4 linked regions of the Alligator mississippiensis genome follow. The protein of the gene in region 3 interacts with the protein of the main gene of each other region in a biochemical or structural test. Links are inferred from orthologs where the notes say so. Each region holds a gene or a part of one and is shown on either strand. Other genes may lie near its edges. The genes, in order: WAC, UBE2A, RNF40 and UBE2B.

Region 1 (7,711 bases), on a different chromosome or scaffold from region 3:
TTTGGAAGTATCTAAATGTAATCTCACGCTTAGAAAAACAATAGAGGATCAATATTTTTAAGTTATCCTGCAAAAATTTTCTTACGAACTTGCAGTTTCTTATGCATGCATATCAAACATGCATAAAACAGTTCCATTTGTAGATTCAAGCAAAGAAAATAAATATGGAGCATACAAGTACTCATATACTATAAGTATGCTTGCAGTGGAGACCAGGAGTTCCCTTCAAGATATCTTAAAAGATACTTGGCATTTCACCTTAATGTTAACTATTGTAACAAGCATTCACAACAAAAGTAATAAAATGAGTGTCCTTACATCACTTATTTGTCAACTTTACCTATAGCATGGATGATACGTTGTTTTAGAGATCTCTTTGGTTCCTCTTCCTGAAGACTTTTCATGGTAACTCAATAAAGAATGAAAAGCAGCACTGAAAACCCAAGAACTGGCTTAAGTTTGACTGGTGTCTGAGGTAAACTCTCCCCCCACCTCCCCCACAATAGTAAACAGTAAAATGTTTACAATTTTGCTCATTAGATAAGTAAAGCAAGATACTGGAGGTAGCAAAAATGGAAGGCAGGCAATAGAATAGAAGTCTATTAAAATATTTAGAGAATTAAAGCAGGAACACTTTATGAGTTCCCCCCAAAGTAGGAATCAAATCAGGAATACCTTTGCATACTATCCCCTACTCACTAGTCTTCCTTACAGCAACTAAAAGTTCTGAAGCTTCTCTGCATTTTAAATTATCTATTTCGTTCAGCCTGTTAAGCACTTAACTGAACAATTAATCATCATAATAAGCAAGCAGACTACTGTTATTTAATAAGCCACAGAACAATCACAGTTTTCAGCCTTTGAAGCAACAAGTAAAAATCTCTATGATGAAGAAATCTAAAATGGAATGTTATCACATGCTAATATTACAAGTGTCTTTAGAAATTTGAATCGCAGAAATTAATTTGAATCACCATACTAAAATTGCATATATGTATTCTCCTGTGGCCTTCTCGAAATGTACTACTTGTTGGAGGCACAAAATACTTCACTTCATGATGTTCTACACAATTATGTTCAGTGAAACTAATCGCTCAGGGATCAATTAGTTGACCACCATGTCTAGACATGTCATTCAAGGTGAAGTTCTATTTGCCCAGTAGTAGCTGTTGTTACGTAGTTTACATCAGATTAATGCTGCTTAAATAAGTCAATTAAAAGCAACTCACCACCATCCCTCTCTCTAACTCTGTGAGCATGCACACTTTTTGCTTTACTGTGCCCTGTGTTGTCACCATATTTGTTTTCAGGGCTATCAGATCGCCGCAACATTTTGTTTGGTGGTGAAGGATCTGTGGTGTCTCGCATCTTGTCATGACGGTGATCACCACCACTGGGGTGACTCTTTGATGAATATTTAAGAGTCTGCAAGAGATGAGAATGCGCTTTAAAACTGGGTTTCATTTTTGTAGCAGTTACTACCACTTCCCACCAAAACATGTATTCTAAATACAGAACACATTTAATTTCAATCTAGTATGACTCAAGATTATAAATGTGATTAGAGCTCCTGCTGAAAACCAATTTCAGCAGGACACTCAGCCTTTGGCTTTCTAGTTGTAGTTAGCCATACAAAGTAATGTTATGAGGCGGATTTAGGTCTTGCGACACCTCTGCCCATTTTGATATCATATGTGAACATTATTTTTAATATCCTCTAAAAGCAAAGTAGCCATTCCTCAAACTTCTTCATTTTGTGACCCAGATACGTTTAGCAAACACCCAGCTTCTTTCCTCACCTACTTCATTATCAAGTAATGCAATATATATTATTTATCATATGTAACTTCTGCACAAACCCAGTGTACACACGCACACACACGCACTGCAAGCTTGATTTGAAAACTTTTACCCTAATCCAGCACCTTTTACCCTAATCCAGCACCCCAATGAACTTTTAAGGGCAAGAATCTCCTGAAGCCATAAAACCAACTTAACAGGCGGAAGGAAGCGCAGTGGTGGGACAGGCAGTGCTTTCGCTGGCCTGCGCCCACTTGGAAATATTGACCTGCTGGAAGTGCTCCTGTCCAGCCCCTCTTCCACCTACTTGCTTTGGCAAGGCACTTCGCTGCCAGGGGAGTGTTTGTGTGCACGGGAACTGCCCCTTCCAGCTGCCTTCAACTGTCAGATTTCATTTCCCAGCTAATCAAATACCCAGAGCCGTGAGCAACCAGCACCCTTGGAGGAGCCCCACAGTGCAGGCGCCCAGGGGCTGCCTCCCTACCCACGGGAAGGGGGAGAGGGGGTGCTTCTCCAGGGCCCTCGAAGGCAGCTCCTCCCCGGGTATGAAGCCAAGTGCCCCAGCTCCCAAGTTGCTCCATTGCTGGCAGAGAAGCCGCTTTCCCATTTGTTTTGGCTCCAAGAGACCCCAGCGGCTCTCCCGCCCGGCCCCGCCCCGCCCCGCCCGGCTCGGAGGCCCAAGGCCGCCCGGGCCCTGCTAGGCCGCGCCCGCCCCTGCCCCTCGCCGGGCCCGCCGGGCCGCCCTTTCCCCACCGCAACCCCCCTCCCCCGCGGCGCAGCGGGCCCGGGGCGGCCGGGCGGGCAGGGCCGAGGCGGCGGGTGCAACGCGGCCTGCGGCGACGGCCGAAGCCTGCGCTGGAGTAGCGCCCCCCCCCGCGCCCGCGGCCTGCGGGGCCCGGCGGCCGGCGCTGCAGTACCTGGTAGGGCTGCGAGTCCCCCCTGCGGTCGTGACAGCTGCGGAGAGAGGGGGAGAGAGAGAGAGAGGCGTTAGCGGGGCCGTTACCGGCCGGGGGAGGGGCGCAAACATGGCGGAGGGGCGGGGGGCGCGGGCCGGGGACGGAGCCATTTACCCATCACTGAGTCTCTGCTGTTTCCTCGCATACATTACCATCAATGCCCGGCCCGTGTGCGTGCGGGTGAGGGCGGCCGGGGGGGGCGGCCGCGGCCGGGCCACGGGCGCCGAGGGGGGAGGGGGAGGCAGCGCTCCGCCTCGCCAGCGGCCGGGGCCGGGGCCGGGGCCGGGGCGGGAGCGGGGGCTCGGGCTCGGCTGCGAGCGGCGCTCACGGGCCCATCGCCGCCACGCGGGACGGGGGACGAGCCGGGCGCCGCGCGCACGGAGACACTGGCGAGCACGGACGCGCCGCTGCCGCCTCCCCCCGCTGCGCCCGCCGCCGCCGCTCCTCCAACTACATCCGGGCAACTCGGGCGCCGCCGCGCTCGGCCCGCCTCGGCTCTTTCCGGCTCTTTCCGCCGCGCTCCGCCCCCCGGCCCCGCGCTCCCCTTTGCTCTCGGCCCACTCTGCCTTCGGCAAACATCGGCCGCGGCCGGCCTGGCTCGGGCCGCATCGGCTCTTTCCGCCCTGGAGGGCGGTTCCGGCTTTCGGGACACTTCGGCTGTTTCCGGACCTGCTTTCGGGAAGCCTCGGCTGTTTCCGTCACCCTCCCGACGCCGGAGTGCGCGGCGCGGTTGCGGTTGCGGTTGCCGCCGGGCGGGGGTCTGGACCGGACCTGAGCGGACGACGCGCCCGGCTCCGCCGCGGGCCGAGCCAGTGAGTGCGGGCTGCTGTCCCGGGGGCATGGCGGGGCCGGGGCGGGAGCCATTTTGTGTGGCTGCCTCCCGCGGGAGGAAGCTGGAGGCGGCGGCGGGCGGCTAAGATGTCCTTGGGGAGCCCCGCCGCAGTGTCTCCTTCCTCTTGTCTCCCCTCTCTCCTGCGGAGCGGGCCCGGAGCATGGCGCAGCAGGCAGCCGTCCTGCAGGGCTGCAACAACGAGGTGGTGCGGTGCCTGGAGGACCTGTGCCTGCGGCGGGACGAGCTGGCCCGCCAGATCCGGCGGGACGAGGAGGAGCGGGAGCGGCTGCGGCGGGACGTGCGGGCGCTGGGCGAGCGGCTGGAGCGCGTGTCGGGCAGCCTGGCCCGCAAGGCCGAGGCCCGCGACGAACTGGACAAAATCCTTGCTGAAACCGACGCTGCTTACGTGAAGATCTTGGACAGCTTTCGAGCGCTGCTGAGTGTCCTGAAGCAGGAGGCAGGGGCCTTGAGCAAAACGGCAGTGCTGGAAAGCAATGTCACCTGAAACGGGCCAGTGTGCGTGCAGCCTCCAACTGAGCTAAATTCCCTCTTGGGTGAGGAATGAGGTTAGCCACAGACCCTGGGGGTAGCAGAAGTGGGGAAGGGCTTGACTGGGGTCTCTTGTCTGTTTTACCTTTAGTTTAATGCACTAAAGCAGTGTGTAACGCACATAAAATAAAGTCAGTATTTTGCTACCAAATATTCATAACTGTTTAATAACCAACACACATGAAGATATATACACAGGTTTTGCAAATCGATCTGTGGGAAAAGAAGGTCACGTTTTGGTACAAATGTCTTTCCATGTCTGTTTTCAGACAACGTAATAATAATTTAAAAAAAAAAAAAGCTTTCTTTTTAGTTTACCATATGAAATCCTCCTTGCTTTCCATGGACTTTCAGTCTGAGTAGTGCTTCCAGATCTGAGAGGAGAGGGCATTTTTTGTCTCTCTTCACTCCTGTAGCCAAGGCAAGAGCCATATTTATGGCTTCAGGGAATCCCATCCAGTTTTCCTTAATTGCTCTGGAAAAAGAGGTGTAAAACAAATGGGTGGGGAGGGAGGAAAAGAAGTGGAGCACAGAATAAGTTTCATAACTCAGTAGTAGCACAATGTTTGTTTTTTATGTTTATTGTCTAAATGGATATCTATCCGACTTTTTTATTTAAATAGATTTTTTTTTCTTCCTTTTTTTAAGGTGCGTGTTATTCTAAAGTGTGCACATAACACAACTTCTATTATTGTGTCTACAGGCTGTCAGGCCCATCCAAAAGCTCTTCCAAAAATAAACAGAGGCCAGGAACAATTGTATTAAAAGACCTTAAATTTAACAGGGACTATATTGACTTCCTAAAAATTCTAGCTGATCAAGTTCCTGTACTGTGCCTGGCCACTGTAAACGTGTACGAAAAGGGAGAGGGAGGTATGTTTAGTAATCTGGCTGGCAATAGACTTCTAAATCTTTAGAGATCACAGCTGCACCTTGCACAAATTTATAGGCTTTTCTGCCCTTATCATTGTAGTTCTGTATCATTGTAGTGTTTTTCATGTAACACACTTCCATGAAAATTTTTTTACATAAATTGTCGAAGTTTTGGTTTATGGGGGTCATCTTAGCTGAGGGCAAAAGATTGAAATGCCTGGAAACTTTCTTTTGGATACCTTTTATGTAATTCTAGCGAATTATATACTTACAATAGGGTTGTGAAGAACACCTGAAGAACGTGGAAAGGAAGTATTAAATACACTTCAGAAGTGGAAAATTAGATTAGAGATGGTTCTTGAGCTCTGAAACTTTCTTTTGGATGTGGTTAAACCTAGCTTGGAAATAGGGAAGCAGGTTAGAGACCATGACTAGAATCTCAATTTTGATCCTATTTTCTATTTCTAGTGTGTATTAAAACTTCTTTATAGCACTTCATATGTTAGCATACTGTAGCTTTTGCTTTGTTCCAAGATTTTGTGCAGTAGTAAAGCCTTTGTTTTATACTGATTCTTTAAATTTAAGGAAGTGCAATGGTAACTCTCACATCAGGCAGCATAACACAAACTATGAAACTCTTGGGTGCAGAAGTAAATGGTATGTATGTCAGCGCAAACTGCGTCTGGCTATTTTGTCTTTGCAGTTTTATGAAGTAAAAGTTCTATTCTAGTGTGTGCCATGCTACGCTTAAAATGTGGGTGAGATTACAGTGACTCAACTAATTGTCACTATATACATATTCCGTTTCCACCAGTCTCCCTTGAGTAATACAGGAGTGATTAAAATTAGATTATCAGGAATGCTGCTGCTATTCTAGTACCCCAGTATTAATCAGGGCAAAATCCCTGCTTCCTTCTTTGCTTATTTTTACTTTAATACAGGGATGTCAAGCTCATCTGGCTCCCCAGGCTGGATCTAAAAATAATAGGATCAGCAGTATCAGGGAGCCGGGGCTACACTCATACCCCACTCCACCCCTGTGAACACACATCTCCAGTGGGGCTCCATGCCTCACATTTCAGCAGTGAGCCTGACCACAAATGTCCAGCCTCTAGGAGCCAGGCAGGCCAGATTCCCAATCCCAGACCCAGCTCGCAGGCTGCACGTTTGACACCCTGCTCTAAGGGAAGTGGAACTATCATTACAAATTTCTGCAAAATATTTGGACCACATCTGGCTTTGATCAATACCTAATCATTGTGTCATGATTGTTAATGACATTTCTCATCTAAATTTATTTTTTCCCTTTAGATCAGTGCAACTTGCATTTCGGTCTTGAAGCTACATGTGTATGCACACCACTTCACACTGGTAATAAATCAGTTTTCTGGAATGAAAGTTCAAATGATCTAAATACAGATTCCTTTTATCATGAATGCTTTGGTTACAGAGAAGTGAAATGGTGGTTTTTATATCTCTTGTGTTCTCCATCTTGCTTGGAGACACCATTTATAGTATAGTTGTCTTAATAGCAAATGGCTCTGTAATTCATGTCTCTGTTGTATTATTTAAACAAAACTAGTGTACATTTTGAGTTTATTATGTATAACTGGGTACTACAATGACAAAAATAATGTACTTGAGCTGACAGCTTTTTTTAAAAAAGGTTGTGATTTAGCTTACAAAAACAAGCAAATTACAGTGGTTTTCTAGTATCCAAACAATGAGATTTTAGGGCTTCTTTTAAATAAAAAGTGATTTCTCACTTCTGTTAACTGAGAAAACTACAGGTGACAGTGAGGTGTCAAATCACAAATGGAGGACAGTATATGGCCTTTAATCTAATCTATGCTGGTGGAGAATGTTTTTGCCTGTATAGTATATGAGAGAGTCTAGACTAGTCATTCCAGATCAAGTGTGGGCTCTTTTATACCAGAATGGAAATGTCCACACATGGAGTTATTTAGGAATAGCTACTGCACTTTAAAGTCATATGCTACGTTAATCAAGTATGACCAAGTTATTAGTCTTTTGGTCGAGTGGCAAACCTTGTTAATACAGTATACAGCTTGTGTATATGTGAATTTTCTTGACTGTTTAAGATACTGTAGGTGAACTGATGTGATTAGCTTTTTTTAAATTGTTTCAATCTGATTAAAATAGGAGGAAGATGCAGCACTGTCTAGGTGAGGACATTCATTTGGAGTAGGAAATGGTGTGGATCAAAAAGCTGAGTCTGAGGTCCCCTGTGGTCTAATCACCCATCTGGCTAGAGTCTTTAAAAGTCATACTGATTTCTGTAGCCAGTAGTACTTGAGGCAGCAATGTCATTAGCATTGCTCCCAGTTAACTTTTGACTCCCCAACCTGAATGACAAGTATGTCATGCATGTAATGTAGAGCAATACTTAACTTAAATCACCTGGCCTCCAGAGTGGAATTCAAACCCTGATTTGGAAGCCTGGGTTTCATTATGTAATACATGGGGACAAAGTAATCCATAGGAACTAGTGTGCTGAATGGGGCCAACTCAAGTTAGCCAAGAAAAAATACTAAGCACAGGAGCAGGTAAACTGTCCATCTCGGAACTGCTGTTCTGAGCATAAAGAAGGGTAAGGTAGGGGATGGAGAGGTCACAAGAGGTAAGGCAAGTAGTGGTTAGGATATGTAACTAGGGAGAGATTGCCCTGGTTTCTGGTCCC
Region 2 (7,079 bases), on a different chromosome or scaffold from region 3:
TAAAATTATTCAAATCTATCTAAGACCTCAGGTGATCTCAAATTACTGTACCCTTACCAGGCCAATACTGTTGCAGAAACAGTGGCTCCAGAAAGATAAAATCATACCAGGTACAGATACACATGCATGAATGCATTCTTCCTAATGTCCATTAAATGTAGTACCTCCAATGTGAGGTAGTGAAGTGTACATTAGGCTGCCCTAATATGCAGTACTGCAAGTGCACACTTTAAAGACACTTAATGCATAGTAGCCTATTTTACTGCACATTAGCGATTAGCGTGGTGGGTTTTTTTACATGACACTTTCATGCACAGTAAAAAAAGGCTACTGTGCATTAAGACATGTGTAGACATACCCACCAAGTGCCTAATTTTTGACCTACAGAAAAGAGGTCCCCCTAGTTTGACTGGCACAGCCGGGGGGGGCGGGTCATCTTCTTTTAGCATGGGGCATGGTCCTTTACCTAGGATCTTCTGGGCACATACATAAGCTTACTTCCTATTATTGCAAGGGTAATGAGGACACTGACAATGCTTTCATCCATAGCATTTCACAGGCTGCTTTTGGCATCTCAAAAATTTTGTTCCTTTGCTTGTAGGCAACCAAGTGAAGGGAGCAATTTGGGAAATTCCTTTACTTAAGGAGAATCTACAAATGCAGGGGACCAGACACAACAGGACTGGCAGGAGCCTCCTGAGCTACGTTTCTAGCCCTCTAACTTTAGAGTGTGGCACAGAGCACAAGGTAAAAGGCACCAGCAAACTATTCAAGTGGGGCACACATCTCCAGATGCCAACACATACAATTCTAGGCAGCAAGATAAAAAAAAGCTGTGCTGTAACAAAAAACAAAAAAAAAAAAACAAAAAAAAAAAAAAAAAAACCCCAACAAACAAACAAGCAATTTTATGCCCTGCTCATTTTTCCTGCCTTGGGTATTAAGAAACCCAGTACACAACCTGCGCCAGAACACCTGCCCAAGAATGTTAGCCGAGGAACAACCCAACAGACAAGAGGAATAACCTACTGCTAAAGCACACAGGAAATATACTCCAGCTACCAGGAGTGCACGTAGCCTTGGATTCAAGCTGATTATGGTTTGAATGCCTAGAACCTTAGGGATTTAAGATCAAGGCATGAGGGGAGGGCAGGGAAGAGAAATCAATACTTAAAAGCCCTAGATAGCATTAAATATACCAGCACTTTCAAAGCTGATCTTCCACAGATATATTGAAGGTGGTAGATCTTCTTGTCAAAATCCTTTGTTACTAAACATCTCAGTAACCCCAACACTGAACTACAAAATGAGACACAAAAAAAATAACAACTCTCAAGATCGATACCATTAATTCACAGGAGCCAGTTTCTCTTCCTCCAAGCTGTGATCCATTTCTGGGATGGCTGTGCACCGTAAAGACAAGACCCGTCTCATCACCCAGACCTGTTTATACTAGTATATTAAGGCCCAAGAAACCAAAGAGAACTTCTGACCTCAAACAATCCCACAAACAAAGGAAAGAGCCACAAGCACCAGGCACTGCAGGAAAAAAAAAGAGAAGAGACCAGCCACTAAGCAGGAGAGCTGGAGGTAGTCGTGTAGTTTTGTGGCTAACTAAGGACAAAAAAAAAGCAACTAATTAGAGTGTTCTTGGGTCTGAGGTACTTTAAAAGGGAAAGCATGAGCTCAGGAAGGCAGAGCCCTCAAGCCAAACAGTTGCTCCCTCAGAGGAAGAAACAGTTTTAGAGCTAGGGAGTCTTACCATGCAATTCATGATGAAAGCATAAGACTCAACACTAATTGTAGTCCTATACTGACACCTTTACAGAATAACTATTTCTAATTGTTTCTTTGCTTAGGTCTAGCAAGTTCAGGATAGATACTGGATCCTTCATACAGCATCAGAAGTGCAAACTTCAGAGAAAATAGTGAGCAAAGCTACAAACAATGACAAAGTTAGGGACAAATGTATCACGGGAAGTTTTTTTTTGTTTTTTTTTTTTTAGAAGGAGCGTAGGTACTTTCAGTTTTAAAAACTGAAAGTAGCTACAACTAGACTAAGGTAAGGAACCCTTAGTTCCACATTTAGGAAGTCAGACTTGGGAGGAGGGAGGGGAATAAGGAAGGAAGGTTTGCAGCGGTCAGGGACGTAGCACCACAGAGCAGTTTTAAGGACAGAAGTTTTGGCAGGGAGGTGGGCAGTGGTTGTGCTTCCCGGGGCTGCGGAGGTCCTAAGCTGACACCTGTTGCAGGGACCCAGAAGCAGGTCACACTGGGAAAAAGAACAAAAAAAACCAACCCTCCAAAAACCAAACCAAACCAAACCCCAGTAGCTTAGCGGCACTTACCATCCTCAAAGGGAGTCCCCTCGGGCCTGGAAGAGAAGGGGGAAGGGGTGAGCACAGAGGAAGGGTGAGCGCAGCGCAGGGGTGCCCCTCCGCCCGCCCCGCCCGCAGGGGGCGCCAGCCCGCGCATGCGCACTCACCCGAAGATGACGGCGTTCCACACCATGATGTTGTTCTCGGAGGGGGCGCCGCTCACGCCGGCCGGGGGGTCCTCCTGCAGCCTGCGGGCACGGGCGTGTCAGCGTGGCCAAGCTCCGCCCCCCGGGCGGGCCGCAGCTGGCGTAGCCCCCGGGAGTCACCCCCAGCAGTCAGCGTAACCCCGGCCCCCCTCCCTGCGCAAGCGGCGTGGCCTAACGCTACGCAAGCGGCGCAGGGCCGCTGCTCCTGCCGCCATGTTGGCCGGCCCCCTCCTCTCCCGGCCTCCCTCCGCCGCCGGCCTCGTTACCTCTTGAAGTCCCGCATGAGGCGCCTCCGGGCCGGCGTGGACATGGCGGGCTCAGGGTGACGAATCGCTCATACACTAGCCCCGGGAGCGAAGGAGCGGGCGCTCAGGGACACTAGGACGACGGCGGCGGCAGCTGGCTCCGACTAAGGCGGCGGCGGCGGGGGCTGCCGAGCGATACCGGGTCGTACCACTGCGCCGGCTCGCGGGGGGGAGGCCGAGACGGCGGCTCACTCCTCCCGGGCGATCCCGGGCTGTACCACTGCCGCGGGGAGGAGGAACCGCACGCGAGTGAACCCTGCCGGACCCTACCACCGCGGTGGAGAAGCGGGAGGCGGTGTCTAAAGGAATCCGGGATGTACCAAGTACCGCGGCGGAGGAGGGGCAGCAGGAAGTGAGACGGCACCACTGACGTCAGCGGAGAGGGCGTGTTCTTGCCATTGTTCCCGCCCTGGGCGTGGCTGGGGGCGTGGCCTTGCACCTGCTGCCTCAGGTGAGGGCAGGACAAGGGATCTCAGTGTGTTTAAGGCGGGAGCGAAGGTGGAGGGCAGCCTCACCCCATGAGTCACGGGAATGAAGCCACTTTGTTATCCCTGACCTGTCCCCCAAGGTGCTCCACGCACCCCAGGAGTTTCTGCTTCCAGCCGGGAGCCTTGCACATGTCTTAGAAAAATTAAAGGGGGGGCTAAAAACTGCCTGGGAGGGAGCACCACCGCCTCCCTTTGCCACGGTGACCCACAGCCACCCTCACCAACACCCCTTGTTTCTAGCCCAAAATTGCCGAGCTTTAGCCTCCAGCCGTTGGATCCGCTTTGTCCTTGTCTGCTCCATCAAAAAGCCCACGATCAAAGTTTTAGGCAGGCCTTGGCAGTTGTAAACTGGGATCAAGGCACCCCTGAGCCCTCCGACAAGCTCTTGGGTTCTTTGCAAGGTTTTCCAGTGTTTTAATCGTTCTGCTGAACCCTCCCCAATTTATCAACTGGAATACAGCTGCAGGGGGAACATGACCTGACAATTAGGAACAAAGAGGCTGCCTGCTCAGCTATCGATCTGATGGAGGATGTGTTTATGGCAGTAGGAGGCTGGGGAAAGCCTCACTGTCCATCAGGGTGAGGTGGCCTCCTACCGGGACGGGTGGGGCACTGGGATGTCTGCCTCCCCTGCGTCCTCTGCTGGAAACCCGAGACACGCGTTACTTGAATAATGTCCAGATCTTGCTAGATCAGAGATGCAGAAACAGTGATTGTGCAGATGTGAATCTTCACAGTCTTTTGTTTCCTCTGCGTGCATCTGGTGAGGGTGTGTCCTGATGTGTAAGAGGCAGGATCTCCTAGGTTATGTTCCGAGTGGGACTCGTGCTAAATAGTTTTTTCCAGTGAAATTAATTATTTGCCTTTCACACTAGGCTCCATTTTCTTTTTGTAAACCCCAAAATCAGTTTACCCAACAGGGCATTCTCTTTACCCATACAGTAGGTAGGAGTAATCACTTTGGTACAAATATCAGCAGTTTGCTAATTATGTTTGTTAATGTTACAAGGTGGTGAAACATTCTCAATACAGAAAAGGATCAGAATATCATATGCTGGCATATTCAGGCAAAATTAGATTGGGGGATGTCAGCAACCAATGTGATATGGCTGTGAAAAAGACAAATGATGTCTTAGAATGTATGACTTGGTGCAGTAGATATAAAGGAAAGTATTAAAGCTGCTGAACAAGGCACCAGTGAGACATCATCTAGAACATGATGTAAAATTCTGATCATGCTTGCTGAAGAAAGATGAATTCAGACTGGAGCAGGAACAGAGAAGGATTACTAGAATGGCAGGGACTGGTGAACCTATTTTATGAGAGAAGATTAAAAGACCTTGTCATATTTAGTCTACTGAATTGTAGGCTGATACTGGTGATGTCACTGGGAAGATGCTGCAAGCTGAGGTGTTGCCTGGGCTGGTGTTTCTTTGAAACCTGTATCCCATTAATTATTTTCACCACAGAAAAATTGCTTTCTATATGAGTTCTGACAATAATGACAAATTCTCGCCTCCCTTTGAGGATTTTTTTTTATCTGCATGGCTTGTGTCTGGAAAAACCATGTTTCTCTTTGATCCCTTGACTTGCCTGTCATTTCACCCTTTTGCTCTTCATGTTTCCTTTAGGGAGATACTCTTCCCTCCACATCAGAGACCTTTCTCCCTCTATGTTGTGACAGAACTTCAAACTTAAGAGTCAAGCCCTTACTTAGCCTACAGAAGCTGGGAATTGAGAGATGATCTCTCAATTAAACTTTCTCGTTAGAGCCAAAGGATCTGCAGAAGCTTGCATGCAGCTCCATAATGAAACTTGTTTTAGTTCTTTTCATTCATGTATGTCTGTGTTTACTGAACCTGGTGATCTCTACACAAGAGATACAGGCATTCCTTGTCAATGGCATTATCTTTCCCCTAGAATCACATCCAGTTGGGAAGGACCTCATGCCAGCCATCAGAGAAGAGGGTCTACTGCTTCTTGCCAGGAGAACAGCATAACCCATGCTGCTGTTCCCATGTAGAAACAGGAACCTTAGAACTTCCTCTTGGCCCATTTATTGTCTAATATCCTTCCAGCTAATCAGATCCATCTTTGGGGCAGAATGTCAAGAGCCGAGCTTTCTGCTGACGGTTGGAGTCCGTCTGTCCAAGTCCAACTGTTGTGGGACGTCTGATCCCGACGCTCCACCCCTGTTGCTGCATTACGTGATTCCAGCTGGAATGGGACTTTCTGACCCCTATGTTTGACCCCTTCTGCTACAGGGACATTACCCCTGCTTGTGTCAGGAAGGCGGAGGAGTTTATATTTATGGAGACAGAACAAGGTTTTATTCTGTAGGTATCAGACTTTTTAACAGTTTAATGGAGATGGGTGGTCTTGCTTATGGGAAGTGAGTCCTTTCATGCTTTTAGGATTGCCAGGCTGACTTCTATACAACTACTTGGGTGCCAGGGCTTCTGAAATGACTATCTGAGCATGAAATTTTAAATGTATGTGGATGCTTTTTTTTTCATCTGGTTGTAAACTGGACTTTCTTGTAGTGGCAAGAGTAGCTTTTGTAATCTTATGTTAGAGCTGTGAGTTTCTTACCTGCTTGGGGGGAGGAAGGAGCGTGGTACATCTTCTCGTTACACCCACATCAGACTATAAATGAGGGATGAAAAAGAGCATCATCTCTAGTATATGGTGTATAGCCTTCCTTATCTTCATTACAAGGATTCAGTCCTAGGAAATTACAAGTCTGAGTCGTCTGTGTTCAACTGTGATCTGAATGGCCTGGGTTTGCTTCAAAGCGGCACAGGGTATGCTAGGGCATATAGGTTTAATGGGCCTCATTTCTGCACTGCAGATGAAAGTGACTGAAAACTATAACTATTTAATTTAGATACCTGTAATTAAGCATTTGGCTCTTACTTCACTGAAAAACAATGAGCAATCTGCCCAGCACAGCCTCGTAGCTCCCTAGAGTTACTAGCGACTTGGGGGTGTTTATTATCATAGCTAATAACTGTAAAGATAAGGATTTGTAAGCAAGGAGTAATTTCACTCACTCCTCCTGGCTGAATGGCGCTTGCCAGACCACTGGGCCATAATCCCACTCTATTTTTCAGGGAGGGCTGCCGACTCCTACACTTCTACTCCTCCCTGAAAGCCTTACATTAAGTTAATTGGACTTATTTATTATTGACTGTGGAGGGAAATTATTTTGGCTCCATTTGGATAAAATTTAGTTCTTTGTGCCAAATTCAGATCTCGAATAAGTCCATCTACACTCATTTAATGAACGTGCATTTAGTGACATGAGGTCTTAAGTTAGCCTTTGATGACTCTTGTTGACATAAAATCTATGTCTTATGTTCTCTTGAACTTCAAAATAGAGTCTGATTACATTATCTGAATGTTTCCAAGTTTCGTATAAGTATAAATTACAGTCATCCATAAATAGCTGTTGCAGCAGACACAGTGTACAAAAAGTAAAATAAAATAGAAATGAGCTCTGGTTTCTTGGAAATCACTTTTAGCATCTTATAGGACATCCAAAGAATGGACTTTTACCTTCTGTCTCAGTGAAGTTAAATTAGTTCCACAACCAGTCAACGACAGCCATATTAGCAGATAATTTAAGGTATATATTGTGTACAGGAGCCATGGCAATGGATGCATAATAAATTATTCTACAAATAAATGTATACCAAGTTAAACCTTTAAAATTGCCTCCTTCTGGAATACTTTACAGAATTTAATTTAATATATGCTATC
Region 3 (7,667 bases):
AGTTGCCACCAGGGGGCTACAGCAGAGGTGGGGGCAGTGATGGGGGGCAGCACTGCCACTGGAAACCCCCCCCCCCCTTTTCCTTCCTGCTCCCCTCTTCCCCACCACCACCACTCCCTGCCAGCTGTTGCTGGGGGGAAGGCAGTGCGGCAGCTCCCTCTGCCCAGAATGCTCCAGGCCCTTGAAGCCTAGCAGTGTGCAACTTCTTGGCAGCACATGTGCAGTTGACCCAGAGCATTATGGACAGAGGCTCTTCTTTTAGAATAGGTGGGTTTTTAATCAGAGAATAGACGATTTTTATCAGAGAATGGGACGGTTTATAATCAGACCATTGGCCGGGTTTTTTAATCAGAGAACCGCAATTTTTTTTAATCAGAGAATTTGAGATTTTTTTTTTTTATTTATTTTTTTTTAAATCAGGGAAAACCAGTATCCCTGGCTATAAGAGGGGACCAGCTGGTCACTGCCCAATTGCAGAGCCCTTGGAATTTCTGGTTCTAAGGGCCAGACCAAATAAGGAGTCCTGGGCATGCCCAAATTAAGCCACCAGTAAAAGACCAAATGAAAATGTGAGCGTGTGATGGTGTGGTTAGAGCAAAGGAACACATTGATAGGATATAAGACACGACCAGTATGATGATCACAAAGACACCAATCAACAGTACCCAGAAATGCAGAGTTGGCAAAAGAAAAAGCATAAAAGGGTGGAAACAAGGAAGTTGGGTGTATGTCATTGTCCAACACCTGGACTGAAAAACAGCCATTACCCACAGATGAACTGACTGGCCACCTTTTCTGTGAAGCAGAGTAACATCTGGGATTGGGCGAGACTAAATGTTTCTGTCTCTCTCTGTGTTAATAAGGTTAGATTTTAGTTAAGCTGAATTATGAGAGATGTATTCCATATTAAACTCCGAGTTGATTATGCTTTGGCTACCCTTTAGCACCGTGGGGGCGTAACAGAACCCAGGCGTCTGGGCCCAGATACAGCCCGCCACAACCCCAAGACAACGATCCTGGGGGGAGGGGGAGGGGGGGTACCTGGCCCCAGTAGCGATGCACGATGAGCAGGGTGGCGTCGTCAGTAGCCTGGCGTTTCTCCAGCTTCTCAATGCGCTCACGCAGATCATCTTCACAGGCCTGCCGCTGCTCCAACCGCTCCGCCAGCTTCTTGTTCTTGAACTGCAGCACCTTCAGGTCCATCTCTTCCTGCAGTGACACAAAGGGAGGGGTTACTGTGGGCCCCTTGCCTGCCAAGCTGCCCCCAGCCCCATACTGCTCTCTAGCTGCTCTGCCAGCCCCCCACCCGTTACCCCCAGCCCTGTGAGCTGCCCGGCAAAACCCCTGCAGTCACTCCCAAGCCCTAAGCTGCTCCCCAGACCCCTAAGCTACGCCCCCCACCGGCATCCCTGCAGTTGCCCATTACCCGCAGCCCACTCAACTGCTCCCCAATAGTTACCCCCAGACCTTCAACCTGCCCCCCCTCCACAGTTACTCCCATCCCCCTAAGTCTCTCCCACAGACCCCTGAACTGTCCCATGTTGACAGCCGTGGCCATTTCCAAGGGGCCTGGAACAAGCTGCAGAAGTGCTGCCAAGCAGAAAATCTAGAGCAACAGGTGCCGCCTCAGGGACATGCAGGCAGCGAATCATGGCTCTGCCCTGGTCCCACACCATCGCTGCCCCGGGATCCTAGCCTCGGCCCTGCCCGCCCATGCTGCTCCCGAATGCCACCCCCCCCGACGCAGCTCTATCCCAGCTGAGCACGGAGCAGAGCCACTTCAGCAGTTTTGGTGAACTGTTGCACGGGGTGCTGACCTGGCCCACGACACGCCCTATGTGGCCCATGGGCCAAATCACTGTCCATCCCTCCCCTAGGACCAAGAGATTGGTGCCCACACAGAAGTGACCGGGAGAGACATGCGAGTGCCGCAGGCCTGGTTCTCCCCAGTTCCCGATGAACACCAACCCTGAATCGTAACAGGTAAGTAGGTAAGTCATCAGAGTCTCCCTGTCCCTGAAGAAGGGTGTTTGCGCCTGAAAGCTTGCAAAGAACAACTTTCCCAACTCTCTGAGTTGGTCTAATAAGAGGTATCACGTCTACCCAAAGAAACTTGTCTGCCCGTGTCCTTAGACCCACACGGCCGCAACCAGCCCCACTAAGTCAGTGCAAGGCATTTGCCGCAGAAAGAGGCAGTTTCCCCCCTCCCCCTCTCCTGATATGCATCGCACCCTGTAATCAAATGAAATGGCAGCAGCGGCCAGAGGTGGGTAAGCGGGGCAAGGGCACCCCTTCGGCAGCCGCACAGGAAACAGGGGCTGTCACGGCAAAGCTGCTCAAGTGGCCCCACAGCCCAGGTAACTGCCCACCCCTGGAGACAACGGATGGACGGACAAGAGCGGGGGCGGGGGAATCGATAAAATGACGGAAAGGGTAAATGGACGAGATGGATGGACACATCAGCGGATGGGTGGAAGAACAGACGGATGAGATTCGCGGGTGCGCGGGTAGATCGGATGGACGGGGCTTGTCGGAGGGGGCCACGCAGGGAAGGGCGAGCGAGGCGGGGGTGAGATGGGGGGGGGAGGGTAAGCGCGCGAGCCGGACGGATACAAAACTCTCAATTCTCCAGTTAGGAAATACCCCCCCCCAAATCTGCACGTCCCCACAAGTGGCGAGCAGCACGGCTACCCGCACACGCACCCGCCCAGCACAAGGGTTTCTTTTCAAGCCACCCGGAAGCCCCCCCACTCGCCACCCGCAGCACGGGGGGGGGGGGGGAGGGTCCCCCGCCGCACTCACGGTGGAGGAGACACCGCCCAGGCGGATGGGCTCGATGAGGGTGGTGGTGGTCTTCTCCTCCCGGGCCGCCTTCTTGTCGGGGGGCCCGGCGGGCCCGTCCCCCGCCGCGCGCTTGCCCCCGGCCCCCGACATGGCGCTGCCCGAGGGGCTGCAAGGGGCGGGGGGACGGCGCAGCCCCGGCGGGGACGCGCCTGCGCACTGCGGGCAGGGCCGGGCGTGACGCGACGGAAGCGCGACGCGGGCGCGGGGTCAGAGGGCGTGGAGGAGGGGCCGGATGCTCCTCCCCTCGCTGGTGGAGTTGTGGGGGGGGACTCCCGCCGGGTGAGCAAACACGTCCACTTTTCGCTCTTTTTTATTTCAACCGAAACGACACCGTTACTGTGTGTGACCACGGCGTCGCACTCCCTCGGGAGCGCCTCTAGCGTGGCGCATGCGCACAACGCCCCTTGCTTCCCTCGGGAGCACCGCCGGCTTGACGCATGCGCACAACGCCCCATGCTTCGCTTCGGAGGACGGCGGACTCGGCGCCTGCGCATAACGCCCGCTGCTTCCCGGGGGCCTGCGCTGGTTTGGCGCGTGCGCATAACGCCCCTGCCTGTCTGCTTCCCACCCAGTGGCCTCGGATCCTTCAACTGCCTCCCATCTTTGGGGACAAGTTTCAAGCTGGGGGTTTCACATTCCCTCCCCTGGAGGTCCTTTCCCCAGTGGGGGTGCGGGGAGAGACTGCCGGGGTGGGAGGGGAGCGTGGGCGTGTGTGAGCGTGTGCCTCTCTGTGCCTGTCTGTCAGTGGGTCATGTGTATGTGTGCCTGTCTGTTTCTGTGTGCCCGTGTGTATGTGTGTGTGTGCATGTCCATGTACAGAGAGGGTGCACACGCCTGTGTGCGCACATTGGGCCATAGCGCAGGTGGGGAGCAGGGAGAAGAGGTGGGTATGTGCCCCCCCAGCCCAGCAGGGTCCACCCAGCCTGCCCTGCCACCAGGACCTTAAAGCCCAGCTCCCATGGGGGAGGAGGCCTCCAATTTTGTGCTTGCCTAGCGCCCCAGTGCACCTTAATCCCCTTCTGGAGGGGTGGGGAGGCAGGCGTGTTACACAAATTGCCAATTGCTCAAATCACGAGACGAGATAAGGCAAGATGCCGAGTTTATTGATTGAGCGCTTAATACACACACACACACACACACACTAACCCAATTTCTGTTCTGCAGTGGTATACGTTACTGGTCTTATCGGTGCTCGGATCAACTTAGTGGCCAGCCAAGTTGATCCCGAGTGGAAACCGGGCTCCTGCCGGTCCATCTCGTCAGATGAACCGATGCTCCAGGATGACGTGCAGAACAAGGCCCAGAATCAATACGTCTCGCCCCATCTTTTATAGCCTTGTCAATTCACCCAGTCCTCTGGGCTCTTGCTGTGTTATCGCTGTGTTCTTCCTTGAAGACTGATTGCCGTTGTGCTCTCGCTGTTTGGGGGCAGATTCTTCTTGCTTGGTCTTTCATCTCTCTGCCTTCTTCAGCTAGTCGCCAGCTGATGTTTTCCTTTTCCACAGACACACTCTGAGCCAGCATACACAGGTCGAACACTTATGTCCAGCTACAGAGCAATACAAAATGGAGTTTCTTAAGGCAATGCAAAACTCAAGAAAATACATACGATTAAAAGCAATAGGCAAAAAGCCTTGATGGCTGAAGACTGCAAGCAACGACCCCCCTGAAGATTGCAGACCACAAAGCCATTAGATCATGTCCTAACAATCCCAGCCTGCCAACAGGACAAGGAGGATGACCTTTGTGTCTGACTCAGCCGAATCCACAGGCTGGTATGGACTGCGAGCACTATAAAGAATGAACACAAAGACAAAGCTTTGGATCTCTTCCACCTGCAAGAAGGCGTTTTAGGCACATCCAACAAGACCTGACTCCATCACTCGGCTCAGCCTGGCTGGCCACCAGACTGACCTGAGCAGCTTCAGCACTTGGTAACACCTTTATTGAGCACGGTTTTGAAGTGATGTGTTAATGCACATTAAAGTAGGCTAATGTGCATTAAAGCATGTTAATGTGCATTTTACCTCAAGCACGTCCCATTAATCGATGTTTCGGCTCGTTGAAGCCTCTCCACTTGGGGAGTAACTTTGCGCTCGACCAATCCTGAATGCTGATTTTGGACGGAGAGGAGGGAAGAGGAGCTCTGATGTCTTGCAAGTGATGGGTCACTCGGGACAATTTACCAGCCAAGGGTTCGGTATCCCTAGCCTTCAGCACACCTACGCTGGCTTTCCCTCCTCCTAATACAGTTGAGAGACCGCGTGTCACCGCCTTCTGCAAAAATCACCTGAGGGACAGCTCAGGATAGAGACACCCATGAGCAGCACGGAGACGTGGGCTATCAGATATTTTCCTAGTAAACGTAGTAGTTCTCCCAAATGCGTTTACTGCAGGTCCCATCTGCATAAAGACTAGACGAGAGCGAACGCTAATCGTAGCACAAAGAAGAAGAGTGGAGCTGTCATGGATCACGCCCATATCGCGTTACTAATAAGCGCAGATCCTTTCTAAACCCATCCAATGAAGGGCGGTCTGGTGGGATCTGTAACCTCGACCATCCTGAAGATGCATACAGCGGCACATGCTCCAGTTGCCGTCCATCCTGAACAGCAAATGTTCAATGTTAGAGCAGCAATGCCAGGCCTTGTGTCTTGCAAGCAGCTCATGGTCTTGAGGTTGCTCGCGTGATGTTGCTTTCCTTTGTCTATCACTGCGAGAAGGTTTTCTGACACAACGTAGCAATAGGTTTGTTACTAGCTCAACTTAACTGAACTTGGCGCTAATCGGCTGAATCAGAGGGATGGAATGATTGGATCTGTTAATGAAAGGTGATAAAGGAGACCAATGAACAATGGTTAAAGTAAGACAACGGAAAAAAGGCCAAATTAAGAGGTGTGCTCATAATGGGGATGTGGAACAAAGGGCTGTGCTGACAGGATGAAATATGGACAATAAGCCGACTGCAGAGAGATGATCCACAGGCAAGGAGCTGTCAAAGGAGTCAAGTTAAGAAAAGCATGAAAGGGGGAAGGAAGAAAGTTAAGCATGTCGTCGTCGTTGTCATCATTTACATCATGAATCCAGCTTTCAACACCTGTCTGGATCATCCTGGCCAACGACGCCCCCTTTGCTCCAGGAACCGAGTGGCCGTCTTTTGCATGAGGGTCCCTCATTTCATCCCTCGGAGCATGCCCCCTGCCCCCTCTCACAGCCTGGGCCCTCTGCCCCGTGCCCTTGTAACCCAGCACTGGGACTAATGAGAAAACGTTAGTCCCTTTTCAGCGGGGTACTTTATTGCTAAGGGTGCTGGGGAGTTTTACACTTATTAGAGACCATTAGCTTATTAGGAGTTGTGTTACCCTACCACACACGCACGCACGCACACTCACATACATTCTCGCAGGTGACACACACACACGACCCCGAGGGCACTGGAGATAGGGATGGCCGGTCCCTATCCGTTGATGGAGCAGGGCATCTGACCTGGCGCGGGCGCTGGTGCTGAGGCACGTTCCTGCATCATCCTCTCTTTTGCCCCCTTTTCTACACTTTATGTTGCTGGGCAAGATTTCTAGATGCTTCTTCCGGCATGCGGTGCTTGGTCAGCACATCACAAGCGCCCTCTCATCTCACCAGTTGGAGCTGGTTTGAAGCCGGTTCCTCTTTATCGAGGATATTGTGCGGCCAGCTGAAAGAGTCGGCCTTCAAAACAGTCTTATCTTCGGTTACAAAAGCAACCACGGCCTTCTGTTGTCTTCATGCCACCTGCTGCTTCTTCGGTAGTCACATGCACCACATTTGCACACTTCATGATATGCTGAACCTTATACAATGGATGTCATGCCCTATGTGTCCTGTATCGACCCAGGCTCAATTTGATATTGAGGTCAATACTCGTATCCCATGCACGCCTCCGCCATTGCAAGTCCAATCCAGAAAATAAACCCCTCCTGGATCTTCATGTTTCTCTACAATATAAGCAACAACACAAGTCTCTCTACTCTTTCCCTATCCTTCTAAGCTTGCCAACAGCCACTACCATAGACAAAACACACAAACCACACGCAACAGTTGCGATCGCACAGTAGGATTAATGCTGGCTTACTTATTTAATGTGAACCTCTCACCGAGCCTCTGCAGAGCGATGTCTTCGGCGTCTAAAACCTGAAAGATAAGAAGACAAACCCGCATCCGGGGAGGTTTTATCCCATATTGTTTAATTGAGCACGGTGTACCCATATACATACCCTCGGGCCCCGTGTCAATCTGGCACACCATCGGGCCAGCTAGGTTAACAGTGCAACATGGACTTTCTCATCTGGTGTGTAGGTTATGGCGGGGTTTCCTGTATTTCAGGTACATTACCTGGTCCCCTACTTGCCATAGCTGGGGGGCAACCTCGTGCTTTCCTTGCATCTTAGCTCAGGTTTTCAACAGGGCTTCTTCTGGTTTGTGCTTATACACTGCCTTGTCTTCTTGCAGCTATTTAATCCACGAGATTACACCTGTTTCTTGAATTTCATCTGGTCGGAGCTGCAGCGGGTTGATCCGGAGCTCCATCGGACGGTCAAATATAATGTGATATGGCGTTAAACGTGGTCTCAGTCGGGTGGCTGATCTAACGGCTGCCAAAAGAAGGGGCGACTTCTCAGTCCATTTCTTACCGCTGGCACACACAACCTTCCTCAACGCTTCGGCTCGTTGTCTCCACCTGGCCGGAGGACGGTAGGACACACGCCGCTTCTGTTGTATCCCTAAAGCCTGTGTCAGGGCTTTCGTAGTTTCTCCCACAAAGTACGGTCCCCTATCTGAGTCAGTTA
Region 4 (7,681 bases), on a different chromosome or scaffold from region 3:
CTGTTTTCTTCATTCCTTCTTAGCCTGAAAACACTGTGCTTTAAAGGAGTCATAGAAGCATCTTAACTTATTTAGACACACACACACCCACGTACGTTCTGGATTAGTAAGAATGCATCAATTTCCTAGTGGAAAACATGGTACCAAAGAAGTATTGTATATGAAGTGGGAGTTTAGAGACCAAGACCTTTGCCCTAGGACTGTATAAATCCCTGGATTAATACAGATGTTGTACTACCCTGTTGGTACTATGCCTTCTCCAACATACTTGCATACAACCTGAAATCTGAAGCACTTCCAAAACAAACCAAACAGCCAAACTTGCTTCACCATAGCACTAAGAAATGTATTGTATTTAAGGAAACCCAAGCACTAAGGGGATAGGCCAAGAAACAGATTTTGATTTGATATTCTGTTGTACATCAGAAGTCAGGATAAATCCCCAATTGGTTCCCTCACCACCACTTCAGGTCCACAAGAGGGATCATGTTTTAGAATGACATATTAGCAAGGACGCTGACCATCAAGCACCAATATTGCCGCTAAGGCAAACTAGCAGCAGGGAGTTCTCTGCCCGAGATTCACAGCGTCCTTCCCAACCTGTATTTAAGCATCCTTGTTTTCTGACCTTTCACAATTTACACAGTTCAATATCAACAGATCATACCCACCACTTTGGGGAACAGTTTCTTCCTACCGGAAAAACCAGATTGCCTGCCAGTATCAAAGCCTAAGCAGCAAACTTAAGTGCTGTTCTGAGATAGCTTTGGTTCTTAAATCAGGACAAAGCTCCCCCCATACTATGCTGTGGGAACATCTTTAACTACAGAGAATTTATGGCCTGAACTGGAAGCTTAACTTGCCTGAACAGAGCCTAGAGATATTTAAGAGCTAGCGATAATGTGGTATTTATAGCATCCGTATTCCTTTTCTAAGAGCTGTAATTAGTATTTTTCTAATTTTATTCAAAGGAACTAAAGAACGGTCAGCCTTCCAATAATCTGTCAAGTTCTTCTCTCATCACCACCACACAACCACAATAAACACAGCAGAGTTCACAGCAAAACATGCAACCTGAATGCTGTTACTTTTAGACTGAAGTAATTGTTAGTAACAAACTAAACGCATTTCCTTTCCCCCTAATGTTAAGAGACTGACATTTTAAAAGAAACATGAGCTCAGCCTGGAGGTACAAGATGGTTAGGTTAGATAAATGCACACTCATTCTGTGCTTCAGTGCATCTATTTAGAGTATTTATTTACTTACTTATCCACCTCCGATGTTAACAACAGAATCAGTGTCTCCAAAAGCAATTCTTATCCATTAGTGCCATAAGTAGTCAGGTTTTTTTATATTCATTGTGACCCACCATTAGGAACAGGATTTAGATGTCCTTTTTTGCTTTAAAAGGAACTACACGATGTTATGTTTGCATTATACAATACCTGGGAAGACTGCTGACAGGTAACTAACTTCTAAACCTCAACTCAATTCCTAACATTTTAGTTGCATATCAAACTTTTAACATTGCTATATATTATGTATACATATATAGCCCATGTCAACTGTTTACTTACACATTTGCAGATACTGCAATAAAATACAGTGACCACTAATAAAGTGGCACTACTGAAACCAAGTCATCTCCAGTGATTTAGGCCAACTCCTTTTAAAGAGAACAAGAGTTTTGCCTCCAATAATTTAGGCCAACTCCTTTTAAAGAGAACAAGAGTTTTGCCTCCAATAATTTAGGCCAACTCCTTTTAAAGAGAACAAGAGTTTTGCCTGAGTAAGGGACACACTTTGCTGGGGTTATTTGACCCCAGTTGTCTTTCCTGTCCAGAGCAAGGGGGCTGGACCCGATGCTCTCACGAAGTCCCTTCCAGCCCTCAACTTCTGTACATCTGTGTGAATGTCTCAGTGCCTTCAACTCACACAGAGCTGACAAAAACCACACAACGTGGACGGCGTAACAAAGACCTTCCACACCATACCTATATATTTACGTCAAGTGGGATAATTCAAGGCATTCCCATTACAAAAAAAGAGACTATCAATGACCCCCACGCTCACTGCAACACAAAAATAAGGTGCTCTATGACGGGGATCCGCCTGCACGCAAAACACACCGCGTTGTGTCCAAAGTTTCCAAGTCCAGAAGCACGGCAGTCGCCGCCGTTACTACTACATTTACCATCGCTGCCGTGTACCTCGACCACGTGCAGGACAGTTTGGACAGGCACAACCCTGCGGGGGCCGGACGGGATCCGACTTCTCCCAGCCCGACTCCTCTGGGAGAAGCGAGTCCTGGAGAAGCCGGGTTGGGAGGGACCATTTAAAAGGCATTTGAGTGTTTATCTGGCTAAGCATCCAGGTGGCAGCTGTGTTGGTCTGGAGGAAAAGGCAATCAAGGACTCGTAGCAGAGAGGATCTCTTTTATTAAACCAACGAGATTTTTGCTAAATAAATAAATAAGTAAATAAAAAGTGTGATCCCCGGGGCTGGACTCAATCTCACGAGGTCCCGTCCGGCCCCCAATGTCTATGAACAACCTCCTTTCTCAACCTGTGGGTCAAGCCCCAAAAAGGGGGGTGCGAGGGTATCGGGAAGGGTGGCAAACCGACTTGGAAAAGGGGGGGAAGCGCGGGCTTTTCCCTCGCGGCGGCCCCACACCCCGGGGGCAGGAGCGAGGGGTGCTGGGTCTTGTCCTGAAAGGCTGGATCCAGCCCAACCCCCACCCGAGGCAGCAGCATCCCCATCCCCGTGCCAAGCGGCCCGCACAGCCCGGGGCCGACCCCCGCGGGGGAAGCAGGGCCCGGCGCCCCCTTGCAGCAACCCCAGGGCCAGAGCCCTTCACGGACACCCACCTCTTGAAGTCTCTCATGAGGCGCCGCCTGGCCGGGGTGGACATGTTCCTCCGCCCGCCCGCCGCCGGCCCGTCCCGCGAGCTCCGCCGTAACCCGCCGCCGCCGCCGCCGCGCAAACAAGCCCGCAATGGCGTCTCCCTCCGCGCGGGGGGCGGGGCGAAATGTACCACTGCCGCGGGAGCCGGGGGGTAGCGGAATGTACTACTGCCGCCACAGACACCGGGCAGCGGGCGGGGGAGGTTCTGGGAGCGCGCTCGGGATGCACCATTGGGCCTGGCCGCGGAGGGGGGCAGAGGAGAACACCCCCGTGCGTGTCGCTTGGGCTGCGCCGTGTTTGGTTCCTTCCTCCCAGCCGGCTGCGCCGGGGGGTCCGCACGCGCGGTGCAAACCCGGCCGCGATGACAACCGGCAGAAACCTCCAGGGTCGCAGCCGCGGGGCGGAGAATGAGCGTGTGCTCGCACTAAGTTGTGAGCAGAAGACTGCATGCCCTTTCCATTTTTATTGCCAATTGTAAGGAGCCTTTTTCAGGTCTTTTTTTTTTTTTTTTAAATCAAGACCTGAAAAATCTCACGCATCCAGGCTCGGGGTTTTAGACACCCCCTCACCTCAAGATTCAAAGTTGCAGAAGTTGGCAGCTCCCTGCCTGATGGCTTCCCCGCCCCGCATCCTTGCTTATGTCCTTGCAGAGATGCATCGGGCCCTTCATTCGTGTAACTCCTGCAGCAGTGTTTGTGGGGCGTGCAATAGCGGCTGGTGGGGGTTTCCCGGATGAGCGACGCTAAGCTAATTAATGCTAGGCTGAGCTTGGTACAAGCCTGTAAGTGATTCTGCTCTAATGCATCTACCATGAGAGAGAATTCCCCCTGCACCAGTTTCTGTTGTTTCAGGAAGCAATTTAGCTCCCTATTGTTAAGTATTATGTAGGGGGGAGGGGGGGAGGTTATTTTATTCTTTTACTTGCTTCCATAAGTAAGTAGGGCTGGCATTGTACTATATGAACACAAAGCAACTGAAGATCTCTGTCCTGCAAGCTTTTCTACACCTGCTAAAGCATGCCAAGTACACGCACTTAGACCCATTATCCTACAGCCCTGAAACCACTAACCCCTTGATTTAGGCACTGACATAAGGGATCGCAGAATCGGCCCTGATACAAAACAAGTTTTTCAAAAATCGGAGTAAGAAAACACAGACCCATGTAAGTGAAATCAAGCCCACTTTCAATCCTGGAGAACTATTCCTCACACTAATAGGAGCCAACGCTCGTTGCCGTACAAGCTTTCAGAACACCCTTCTCCCACCGCGCGCGCACTTCACATTCCTTTGCTGTCTGTTTCCCTCCTCTCCAAGCTGTTTGTATTAAGTGCAAGCTCTGAATTCTTCAGGAAAAGGGCTGTGTTCTCGAAAGCCATGTACAAGTCTGGCCCTGCTAAGTACTTAGTTAGTTTAACTGTATTGTGACTTGACTGCATTAATGTTACACGTCGGAGCTGTTCTCCTGCTGCTGCTGCTGCTGCACAATTTAAGAGCTCTCACTCCAGAAGTACAGTTCTCTGCTCTTTAAGGAACCTATCTGCCATTAATCTAACAACATACCCAGAATCTGTTCACACCCTTCTTTTGCAATTCATTGGATAGACAGTCTTTTTTTAAAGAAGGGAAAAGGGAAGCCACACACAAAACACCCAAATCATTCTAATCCAACCACTGCTTTGCACCTAACCAAGGGTCTTCCTTGCCAAAGGCCCACCCCATTAAGACTTCCTTAGTCACTACCCCAGGAACATTTCACCTTCCTACAACCAACTGTATATCTTCTTTCCCAACTAAGCTTTTATTTCTACAGCACGGGTGGGCTGAAGGCAGCCCACCAGGCCATTCTATCTGGCCTGTGGGGCCCCTAAAAAATTTAGAAAATGAATGTTTATCTGGCCCTGGCTGCCTGTCACGTGGCCCTTGATGGATTGCCAAAACTCAGTAAGCGGCCCTCCGCCCAAAATAATTGCCCGCCCCTGTAGACTAGGGAATCAGGCATTTTTCCCAGCTGAACCTGATAATTCCCTCTACAGGGGCAAATACGTATTCTTAAAAAAAAGCTCAGCCTCAAACAACTGATCCTTAAAAGGACAGACTACCCTTCTACAGAAACCTTCAAAGCAGGAGCAGTGTATAGATTATGATACGAGGTGTATTTGGTAGCTGTGTTGATCTGAGACAAAAAGAAATACAAAAACCTAAAACTCTTGGTTCCAAAATGATACCTTTTATTAGATCAACTTAGAAATGACACAAAAAAAAAAAATCCTTTCCGTTGGTTTAATAAAAGGTATCATTTTGGAACCAAGAGATCTAGATTTTTGTGTAGCTTATGATATGACACATAGCTGAGCCATTTTGGTTGCATACAGCAGAGGGCAGCGTTACCCTTCCATACAAACTTGTTCATGTCAAGGTTATACAGTAATTTGTCCAAAAGAATGGATCTGTCGCATGCATTTTTACTCAAAAGATTTTTTTTTTCAATCTTATTCAGGGGTTAAAGAAACATTTCAATTAATTTAGTATATTGGGAAAATAAAAACAAGGGTCTGTAAACTTTATTTCAGGAAGTCTGATGTAGCATTCTTAAACTGGATTATATGAAATTTATTTTTTTTTACATCCAATTAAAAGAATTCATGGTTAAGTTTGAAGTTCAGTCACAACTTCAGCACTAAAAGAGAGGCCAGCCCTCTCTGTGGTTTGTGGTTTCTCGTGTCATTCTCTTGCTAGGAAGATTACCCAAGATCTCACTGTAGGAGGTAATTGTTTTATGTCTGCTGGTGATTGTTTGTTTACTGGCAAATGATGTTATCACTATAGTTACCCCCTGCTTTCACTATGGGAATAATTATTTTCGATTCATCATGAAATAATGCATTACAGCAGCTGACAAAGATATGACATCGGATGCATTTCACATACTTCATAGCATCTGACAAAGTAGGTTTTTGTCTATGAAAGCTCATTTTTCTCTGAACCAGTTAGTCTTTAAGGTGCCACCCTGCCCTGCCTTCTGTCTGACTTCTGACTCACCTGGCTAACCACCTCTATTCCAGTTTGAAAAACTTTTCTAATGACTTTTTTTTCTTACAGTGTCATCCCTACAAGATAATTGATTTTTTTCATTCAAGAAGTCTGAAGAATAACGTAATGGTCTATGGCTATGCCCCATTAGCCCCAGCCTTCTGCCACCTATGATGGCAGCTGAAATGAAATAAAAACTGGCAAATTTTGGACAGCGTCATTCCTTCTGCTAATCTAAAATAGTTTATAGTTAGAAAACCAGTAAGACAGAAAATTATCTTGCATGCGTACATAACAGACAATTACCCCTTAATAAGCCTCAAGGAACTTAGGAAATAGCAGTGAAGCTGGGCTGCTTGCGTGTGCGCTAAATATTATAAATCCCGCAAACCTTAATTAACAAAAGACGTGAAGGCTTCAGTTCTGCAGTGCCCCTGCAGAGCTTCGTTACTTGCATTAACGTGTCCAAACCCAAGCAATAAAATATATTGCTGAATAAAATAATAATCTTAATAAAATAATGATAGCAACATATACAGTAATCAAAGGAATTGTGAGAAATGGATTTGCATTATTTATTTGCATTGCCCCTGGAGGCCCCAGAATGAGTCTGGAGCTGCATTCTGCTAGGTACAAATTGTGATGGAGACAGGCAGCTCCTCCCTAGAAGGGCAGAACCAATCCTACAGTCATGCAGTCTTTTAATGAAGATCAAAGGGGAAACAAAAGCATCCAATAATTCAGTATTACAGGTACTTCCTTGACATCTGCTATTTGCTCGCCCCCTTGCCAAGATAAATATTAACCAGGAAATATACCAGCCTGCAAGTATTTATAAGGACATTAAAAAATGCTGTTTACAGTCACTCCATGGGTCCACCTTGCTCACATATCCTGGGTCCCACAGCTAGCGGCTCCTCCACAGAGCTGTCACAATGCATCTGCTGAGTTCATGGACACCCCCGACACCCGCCCCTTCTGAGAGCAGAGGGAGACCCTGGCGTACGCCCTCCTGGACTGTGCCAGGCCGCAGCCCCTTCATTGCCTGCCTCCTCCTCAACCTCCTGATGCCCTACTCCCATCCCACACCTTGCTGTTTGTGCACTCCTGGTACATGGCCCCACGTGGCCCTGGGGCCTCCCCTCCTCCTGGCTGGGAAGGAGCCTCTGGCCAGGAGTAACACCCCCACCCCCAGGGACTACAGGGCTGTTTTCCTGTCCTTGGCCTGTTCACCCTCCAGGCAGTTTCACCGGGCAGCGCCCACTGGCTCCTCGGCCTTGTCTGGGGCCGGCAGGCCCTGCCTGGTGTGCTCCGCTCAGGGTCCCCCTCACTTGGAGCAATTCATCTAAACCTGTGCCCTGCCCCCTCGTCCCTGTTTTCTCTTCAGTTGCCCCCTGAGCTCAGCGGCCTCCCGGCTGAAGCAGGTTTTCACCACGCTCCTGCCCCACCAGCACCATCTGCCACACGCAGGCCGACGAAGCCTGAGGCCCTACCCGCGCGCATGCGCACGAGGGCTCGTGCTGGACGCCAAGGCACTGCAGGCGCCGCCACTTCCCTGCTCCCTTCCGCACATGCGCAGTCACCGGGACGCTTCAGGGAGGCCCCGCCCCTTCCGCTCCACTTCCGGGTGGAACGGGATGAGGCCGCGGCGGTTGGCTTGGCTGCCTGTTGCTGTGGTAACGGGGCCTAGTGGCGGCGCCATGGACAGCCGCGGTGCGCAGGTCAGCGGGCCGGGCCCCTCGGCGG

Evidence for each region.
Region 1: the proteins of RNF40 (region 3) and WAC form a complex in vitro, tested with the Homo sapiens proteins (2 studies listed by BioGRID). The link is inferred for Alligator mississippiensis from reciprocal best matches to the Homo sapiens genes RNF40 and WAC.
Region 2: the proteins of RNF40 (region 3) and UBE2A form a complex in vitro, tested with the Homo sapiens proteins (3 studies listed by BioGRID). The link is inferred for Alligator mississippiensis from reciprocal best matches to the Homo sapiens genes RNF40 and UBE2A.
Region 4: the proteins of RNF40 (region 3) and UBE2B form a complex in vitro, tested with the Homo sapiens proteins (3 studies listed by BioGRID). The link is inferred for Alligator mississippiensis from reciprocal best matches to the Homo sapiens genes RNF40 and UBE2B.

Annotation. Positions count from the first base shown.
Region 1 is NC_081828.1:190,515,322-190,523,032, reverse strand, and holds the start of WAC (WW domain-containing adapter protein with coiled-coil), read right to left. Parts: upstream 3,012-7,711; 5' UTR 2,912-3,011; coding exon 2,871-2,911; intron 2,755-2,870; coding exon 2,718-2,754; exon of another isoform or gene 2,490-2,717; intron 1,426-2,489; coding exon 1,230-1,425; intron 410-1,229; coding exon 341-409; intron 1-340. Other genes in the region: microtubule nucleation factor SSNA1-like, read left to right, coding at 3,749-4,093.
Region 2 is NC_081831.1:72,656,630-72,663,708, forward strand, and holds the start of UBE2A (ubiquitin-conjugating enzyme E2 A), read right to left. Parts: upstream 3,005-7,079; 5' UTR 2,835-3,004; coding exon 2,791-2,834; intron 2,567-2,790; coding exon 2,486-2,566; intron 2,375-2,485; coding exon 2,349-2,374; intron 1-2,348. UniProt on the Homo sapiens protein: E2 ubiquitin-conjugating enzyme that accepts ubiquitin from the ubiquitin-activating enzyme E1 and transfers it to a E3 ubiquitin-protein ligase. In vitro catalyzes 'Lys-11', as well as 'Lys-48'-linked polyubiquitination.
Region 3 is NC_081830.1:1,180,742-1,188,408, forward strand, and holds the start of RNF40 (E3 ubiquitin-protein ligase BRE1B), read right to left. Parts: upstream 3,004-7,667; 5' UTR 2,935-3,003; coding exon 2,803-2,934; intron 1,210-2,802; coding exon 1,042-1,209; intron 1-1,041.
Region 4 is NC_081832.1:70,120,056-70,127,736, reverse strand, and holds the start of UBE2B (ubiquitin-conjugating enzyme E2 B), read right to left. Parts: upstream 3,007-7,681; 5' UTR 2,913-3,006; coding exon 2,869-2,912; intron 1-2,868. UniProt on the Homo sapiens protein: E2 ubiquitin-conjugating enzyme that accepts ubiquitin from the ubiquitin-activating enzyme E1 and transfers it to a E3 ubiquitin-protein ligase. In vitro catalyzes 'Lys-11'-, as well as 'Lys-48'- and 'Lys-63'-linked polyubiquitination.